2 linked regions of the Oryza sativa Japonica Group genome follow. The protein of the gene in region 1 interacts with the protein of each later gene in a pairwise test. Links are inferred from orthologs where the notes say so. Each region holds a gene or a part of one and is shown on either strand. Other genes may lie near its edges.

The links. The genes of interacting proteins can lie anywhere in the genome.
Region 2: the proteins of replication factor C subunit 2 (region 1) and pectinesterase 31 interact in binary tests that used the Arabidopsis thaliana proteins (3 or more experiments, as listed by UniProt). The link is inferred for Oryza sativa Japonica Group from reciprocal best matches to the Arabidopsis thaliana genes EMB1968 and PME31.

Annotation. Positions count from the first base shown.
Region 1 is NC_089046.1:3,901,256-3,905,008, reverse strand, and holds the start of replication factor C subunit 2, read right to left. Parts: upstream 2,568-3,753; 5' UTR 2,447-2,567; coding exon 2,403-2,446; intron 2,279-2,402; coding exon 2,200-2,278; intron 2,107-2,199; coding exon 2,027-2,106; intron 1,054-2,026; coding exon 934-1,053; intron 852-933; coding exon 782-851; intron 704-781; coding exon 630-703; intron 549-629; coding exon 428-548; intron 342-427; coding exon 279-341; intron 194-278; coding exon 134-193; intron 1-133. UniProt on the Arabidopsis thaliana protein: May be involved in DNA replication and thus regulate cell proliferation.
Region 2 is NC_089044.1:14,590,908-14,594,562, forward strand, and holds pectinesterase 31, read right to left. Parts: upstream 2,839-3,655; 5' UTR 2,751-2,838; coding exon 2,448-2,750; intron 1,829-2,447; coding exon 1,724-1,828; intron 1,611-1,723; coding exon 1,533-1,610; intron 1,446-1,532; coding exon 1,258-1,445; intron 1,088-1,257; coding exon 914-1,087; intron 792-913; coding exon 629-791; 3' UTR 434-628; downstream 1-433. UniProt on the Arabidopsis thaliana protein: Acts in the modification of cell walls via demethylesterification of cell wall pectin. Acts in a blockwise manner, resulting in a cell wall rigidification.

The DNA.
Region 1 (3,753 bases):
ACTTTGCTACTTTCAGGAAAACAATGTCATCAAGTAAGCGTGACTTTGTACAGACTCAAACATAGAATAGCAAAATAAATGACACATGTAAGTTTAGGCATTTGCAAGGGAACAGAAATGAGTGGTAATGTACCCCTGAAACACTAATCAAGTCAGTAGAAGAAATAGAAGATCCAAATAAGCGAGCAGCGCTCTGCAACAAAAAACAAAAGGTATATTAAATTAAGATTAATATAAATAAACCACATAATGCAAACGCCAAACTAGATAAACCATACCTGAAGATAGGTTATAGCACGGCGGAGGTCACCATTAGAGATGGTGCTTAGTGTAGCCAATGCCTATTATGAAAAATAAAAAGAGTGTTAGCAAAAATGCGGATATTTAAATGTAGATTTAGATTTTGAAGTGAATGCAGTACAGTTACCTGAGCATCAAGACTGAGCCCTTCTTCATTGCATATATGCAAAATGCGATTGCTCATTACTTCTTCTGAAAGAGGCTTGAATCTAAACTTTGCACATCTTGATGCAAGTGGTTCTATTATCCTGTATTACACATTAGGATAATGAATTACATAAACTCAAATAAAGATCCACAGGGGGAAAAAAGGAGAAACAAACTAATACCTGCTGATGTAATTGCATATGAAAAAGAATCTTGTCACTTTGGAGTAAGTCTCCATAGTACGCCTTAAAGCATTCTACAGACAGATATAAGACATCATCAACGCACGGTTCTGCAGCAACAAGGCTTTTAGCGTTCTGCCTGTTGTCTATACCTGGGCATCTTCTGTCATCGAATCTGCTTCATCTAGTATAATAATCTTGTATGGTGGGCAGGGATAACCGCTGAAGGCCATCGCAAAAACAAACTAGTCAAGAATGCAACTACAGATGGAAACTGAAAGGTCCCTAGTTTTGGTTAAATTACCCTTTTCGTGCAGAACCAACAGCAACAGCAGCAAAGTCCTTGATCTTAGTCCTCACCACATTAATTCCACGATCATCACTAGCATTAAGTTCTAGAACTCTTGACTTGTAGAGCTCTGGACTGCATCATCCAAATAGTACGAAAAAACTATCATGAGTCCCAAACTTACTGAGAACAACCTTGCACTATTTGCAGAAAACATATCCTCTTAATGTTATTTCATTATTTAGTAGTCATGATTAGAATGGGGTTTTTCTTGCAAATGAATTTAGGAAGTAACCACCATATTAGAAGAGCAAAATTGGCAGACAGATAATCTCAATCACTATAGTGCTCATTATCAGTTGAAAAAAAAAGAGAATAAACTTCGCTACTACTCAATCTAATCAAATTTCCTCCTAACAAACTGTTTCAGTATTATTTTTTCCCTTAATTCATATGTGCTATTCCACATGAAAATTTTGATTCTCTAGATTTCCCTCCATACATCTGACCGCCTCCAATTATCATTGGTAAGACATGAACCATTACACACATCGAATAGATTCTAATCAAGCAAGTGAGATTCTAATCAAGCAAGTGAAGTGGTAACAACTCAACAAGAAAAAAGGGGCCTGTGAGAGATGCAAGAATAAATTACCTAGCCCAGAAACAATGAAAATGGCTGATGAGTGAACAAAATTATAACAGATCTCAACATTTCAACAATCCAAATTTTAAACTTGAACTACCATTTCACCATACATCATTCAAACACATTGATCCAGTGGTCCGATTAGTATTGTAATATGCAGGACTAGGATCAACCATGTCATCAAACTAATTGTACCCACTTTTGGAACGCCTGCCTACAAAGATGTATACCAATATTTGCCAAAATAAACAAAATACCCAAGATAATGAAGGTTATCAATTCTAATGTCTCAAAAGTTAAGTGATTCACCCCCAGCGCAGCCTATCTAATGCTCCCATTGCATTGAGAATTACCACCTCTTCCAAGATTACTAAGATAAGCCAATTTCAACCGAACCAAAACAAGATTCTCATAAAGAGAAAAATTCAAGTAAACAGTTGCCAACAAGAATTGAGTTACCCGTAGAGCTGGTAAGCAATGGCAAGCGCGGTGGTGGTCTTCCCGGTGCCAGGCGGGCCGTAGAACAGCATGTGCGGAAGCTGCAAAGGGACCAGATCACAAATCAGAAACCTCCCAGGGGGTCACAAGAGAAAAAAAAAAGAAACAGAGCTAGGGTTTAGCCCGCGGCTCACGTCGGCGGTCTGGAGGGTGGTGGTGAGCACCCGGACCACCTCCTCCTGGTGCGCGACATCCTTCACCTGCCTCGGCCGGCTGCGAACGGGAGGAGGATGAGCAGCGGGGTCAGTCAGTCGCAACTAGGGCAATCCATGAGGGCTTATCGACAAATTGAGGGAGGAAAATGGTGTGGGGGAGGGGAAGAGAGGGCGGCGCTTACTATTTCTCCACCCATGGCTGCGAGGACGGCACGAGCGGCGCCATCGGGCTACCGCGTCCTCTTGCGCCGCTGCCGCCGCCGCCGCCTTGGTCGTCGCCGCCGCCGAGGGAGGGGTTCGCGCGCGCGGAGGGCGGAGGCGAGTGGCGGGCTGCGGCTTCGCTTCCCGCCTCTTCTCTCTGGTTCTTTTGTGTGGGGAGGTTTTGCAAAGTCTGGAGGAGTGAAGGATTTTGGGCCGGCAGGTAGGCAGGATGGCCCCAAAAAAATCGTGAAAAACCGAGAAACTGGATAAATTTTACAACAAGTTTTAAAAATTTTGTTTAAACTTTTTCGAAGTTGGTCGGCATACTTGGCTGTTACATTATTACTATCTTAAAAGCACAGTCGTCATCCTCTCATTTCTCCCTTTCCCATGTATATACAAAAAAAAACAGCTCCAAAAGAACCATTATACCAAAAACATCTTCCGGTGAGATTTGGTGTCAGTGTTAGGGATAGGTTTTGAGCGATCTCGGTTGTAGGTACTTTGTTGGTCTAGTGATAGTCGGTTTGGTGTTAGCCTTCTCTCGGGTATGTGTTTTGGTGTTGTCAATGTGTGGGTGACGGTTTTTTTCCTGATTATGACCTCTCAAGATTATAATATTGTAATTTTGCGATTCCTTACCATATGAATATATAATGATGTATCGTGTACAGTTATCCTAAAACGGATGGCATGGATTGTTCTAAATTTTATAGGTACACCAATAGTACAGGATATTAAATACCAATGGTGCACAGTTTCTCTATTTGTGTGTGTGTTTTGAAAATTTGTTATGTAAATTTTTGAAAATAAAAGGTGTAGCAAATCATTTTGAGTTGAAATAATATTAAGCAAAAGTCAATGCACCATGGTTAGTGCTCCTCTGATTTCTTTAGTGATCAAACATGTTTTCAAATATAACTTACGCTCAGGTTTTGAAATTAAACAACGATTATAAGCCATAATCCAACTGAGCAACAGTTGCAATAGGATTAGTAGAATCCAAAACGAAGACACGCCTGGTGGGACTCGAACCCACAATCGTCTGATTAGAAGTCAGACGCCTTATCCATTAGGCCACAGGCGCCTTCTCTTTCCTGGGCCCTCCGTTTTACTCATTTTATAGGTAAATTATATAGTATTTAACATTAAATTTATCGGGAAACTATGAATCACCCGATATTTAATATTGAAGCTATAACAAAACTATATAAGTTTTTTTACTTTAAATCCTAACACCATTGTCACGTTGGAGCTATTAACGTTATAGTTTTGTAACTAAATATGTTCTAAACATATGCTCCCTCTGTCAAAAAAAAAAAATTAACTTAA
Region 2 (3,655 bases), on another chromosome or scaffold:
AAAAATTTCATATGAATCTTGCAAATAATGGTACAAATCATATAGAATTCCTCTAGAAATGCCCAAATTCAAAGGGAAAACAAGGGATCTTGTGTACCTCATTGTTGGATCAAACCAGTCCTTCATAGTCTGATCAGAATTGTTCAGTCAAATATTGGTACAATTTTTTCGAACTTGTTCAGTCTGTGTTTGTTCTAGATGAACTGCATTCAAAAGTGATCTGTAGACAGGAAGCAACATGTATCAGTAAAAATTTGGTGGAAAATGGCATTTCTACTATGTACTAAAGCTAGTATTATTCCACATGTCCCATTTCAAAGTACCACAATAAATGTTAAAACCTGACGGACCATGCCATTTCCTCTATGTTAACACATTCCCATAGTATAGAAAGGCCGCATGACTCATAGCAGCATGAACAATATCACGTCAATGAAAGAGCAAATAATTTAATTTCGTATTCCTTTATAGTCCTCAAGGGACAAGGCTCATGGAAAACAACAAATATCTCTCCTCAATACAATTGCGTGGGCACAAGTTGACCAAATGTTACACTTATAATACACCCTCCAAAATTATTTATAAGATAGACTAGGGAGGAGGGATGAACTACAATCCTGGGATTAGACTATGCTGAGACTGGTACTTTTATTGCCATCATCTGGATGAGCCAAGGCCTATCAAGGTCTGGATCAATGAAAGAGTGAGAAAGGAAATTCTCCACTTCAACATCAAGCAATTGTCTACACCAAGCCACTCGGTTTGATGGGCGGAAACCTGGCCCTGAGCACCTGCGTAAAAAAAAAAGGGTTAATGCCTTCTAGTAGCTCATGAATGATCGATAAGCACAAGTCCACAGATAATATGGAAGTTTAGTAAGAGAAGAATCTCTGAATACTGATGGTTCCAATACCTGTACTCAAAGAAGCAAGCAGTTCGTTCATTCTCAGATCTGTCCCAATTATGCCACCCAGCAGGCTTAATACAACGATCCATAAAAGTGTGCGCAAAGACAACCCTTCCAAACGGTCCCCAAGGCCGACCCAGGAACATATATCCAGCTTCTCCATTTCCAGTAATAATACACCTGCATGTGTTCATCCGTCCAAGCATCACATCAAGCAAAAGCAAGAAAGGCACATTGAAAATGATCAAGCTTACATGTCAATCTTATTACACAAGCAATGAGAAACTCAAATTTCAGCCATGAACAGCATGGCCTAACGGACTAAGTAAACATACAATGAAACAACTCACCTCAAGAACACATAACCAGTAGTTTCTGATGAGGATTTCCGGCTGTGAGCAGTAATGTAACCCGCTGATTTGCAATGAATATGGCAATGTTCCAACAGGGCAATAGAGTTGCCGAAGATGAAGTCACAGTTACCTTCGATGTAACAGTCCCTTAAGTATTGTTTTCCATAATGTAAATATAATGTGTCCTGAATGTTTTATTCGACAACCTCATAAATTAACAAAAGCTTCGCTGAATGAAACGATTTAATGAAGAGGTGAATAAATGAGCGTACTTGCCAACCAAGGAACCTGCAATTGTAGAAGGCACACCTATCTGCTGTTACTCGGAGAGCAACTGCCTGCCCAGACCCCTACACCACAACAGGCACATCAGCTTTCTGCACCCACTCATCACACATGCATCTCTCTATGCAAGAAGAACAAGTTTGGTCAAAAGAAAAAAGAACAAGGCAAAGACAAGCACCTGAGGAGCTGAGTTCTCAAATGTGATATTCTCTGCGATGAAATCCTCCCCCTCCACAATAATTGTTCCGCATCCAAACGTTCCTGTCCCAATAACCCTGGACGACTTTACAAGAGAAAAGGACAGAATGATTAAATTAAAAAGATAAGCATAACTATTCAAAGTACACAGCACTTAACATCTGCAGTCAAAATTAGGGGGCAGTTACGGACTCGTCTACTAAAACGTCAAATGTTTTTCTAACAAGCTCAAATGTAAAGTTCCTTTCATTGCTTTTGGAGAAGAAGTCTTGTAAACCTCAGTTGGAAGTTCTCTGCACCTACCCCTTCCTCATAAACACATAATAAACTACAGAGGTACAATAATTTAACATACAATTTGCTCAAACCACCTATCCATTCATATTAACATACTCCAAATGGATCGATATGGGGGTGTCATCCGAAACCAGTGTGCTCAGTACACAGGGATATACATAAATAAAACGCACACCAGACATTTCTTAATGCGTCAGTGCCTCACCATCCTAGCTATAGCCAATGACGGGATGAACGAATCAAACAAACAAACCATTCTAAAAGCTCTCCAAATAATTTACGCAACGCATGCTACATACACCAACAATTTCTCGGGACCTGTCAATAATCGGGAAGAGAATCACTAAAATTGTTCAAGGCCATCTCCGAGTTTGGCATTTCATCGAGCAGGAGGCGAGCGTACTAACCTGGGAGTGCTTGATGCGGGTGGCGGTGTTGTCCCAGGTGATGACGGTGGCCTCGGGCGAGCCGGCCTCGCCGGAGAGGGTGACGAGGTTCTTGGCCTTGGCGACGTAGACGGGCTCCCTGTACGTCCCCGGCGCGAGGCGGATCACCGTCCGCACCCTGTTCCCCACCGGCACCGCGTCCACCGCCGCCTGCACCGTCGCGAACACCGCCTCCCCCTCCTCCCCCCGCTCCGCCTCCGCGCGCGCCCCTCCTCGCCCCGGCGGCGCCACGCGGAGAACTCGCCGCGGCTGCTGCTGCGCCATGGCGAGATCGGCGGCGCGGCTTTGTTTGGTTTGGGTTGGCGGTGGCGGTTTCACACTAGCGCGTGGACTGCCTGGGTTGGTTTGGTTTGGGTTTGGAAATTGGAATTTATTATTTATAGGCGTCAAACTCAGGGGGTGTTTAGATTTGTGGCGTAAAATTTTGGCGTACCACATTGGTTATTATATTTATATAGTATGTCATATGAAGTGTTCGGACACTAATAAAAAAACTAATTATATAATTTGTTAGTAAACCGCGAGATGGATTTATTAAGTCTAATTAATCCATTGTTAAATCATGAAACAATTAGACTTAAAAGATTCGTCTCATAAATTAGTCGCAATCTGTATAATTAGTTACTTTTTAGTCTATATTTAAATACTTCATGTGGGATGAAAAATTTTAGTGCGGGAAATAAACAGGCCATGAAGGCGGAGACGGTGCGAATGCGGCAACGCTGACGGTTCAAAAGCGGTGACCCCCCGCCCGCTGGTTATATGTGGGGCCCCGCGATGTCAGTGGCTGCGTTCGCTGACAGGCTGGATTTGAATTTGACTGGACTGTGGTGATGTTGATCCCGCGTTTGGTCTCGTTTTGTCATCTTTTCTTTGTTTTTTGTTTTGGATTTCCTTTCGAAGATTCCCCGTGCCAACTACTGATAGGCTATTTTATTCTTGATTACCGCAGGACCGTCAATGATAAGTGCAATCACTAAGGCTAATCACTCGAGTACCACGTATGATCGGAGAATGATCGACAGGTGATGTTTAATTAAAGGAATTTCATGGAAGTTAAGGCAACTATCATGCGTTTTAAAGTACCTCTTCTTTTTTTTAGGGAAAGTTTTAAAGTACCTCTAATATTGGTAAGTTAGTTTTCACATATACTAGGGTTACCTTGCAGA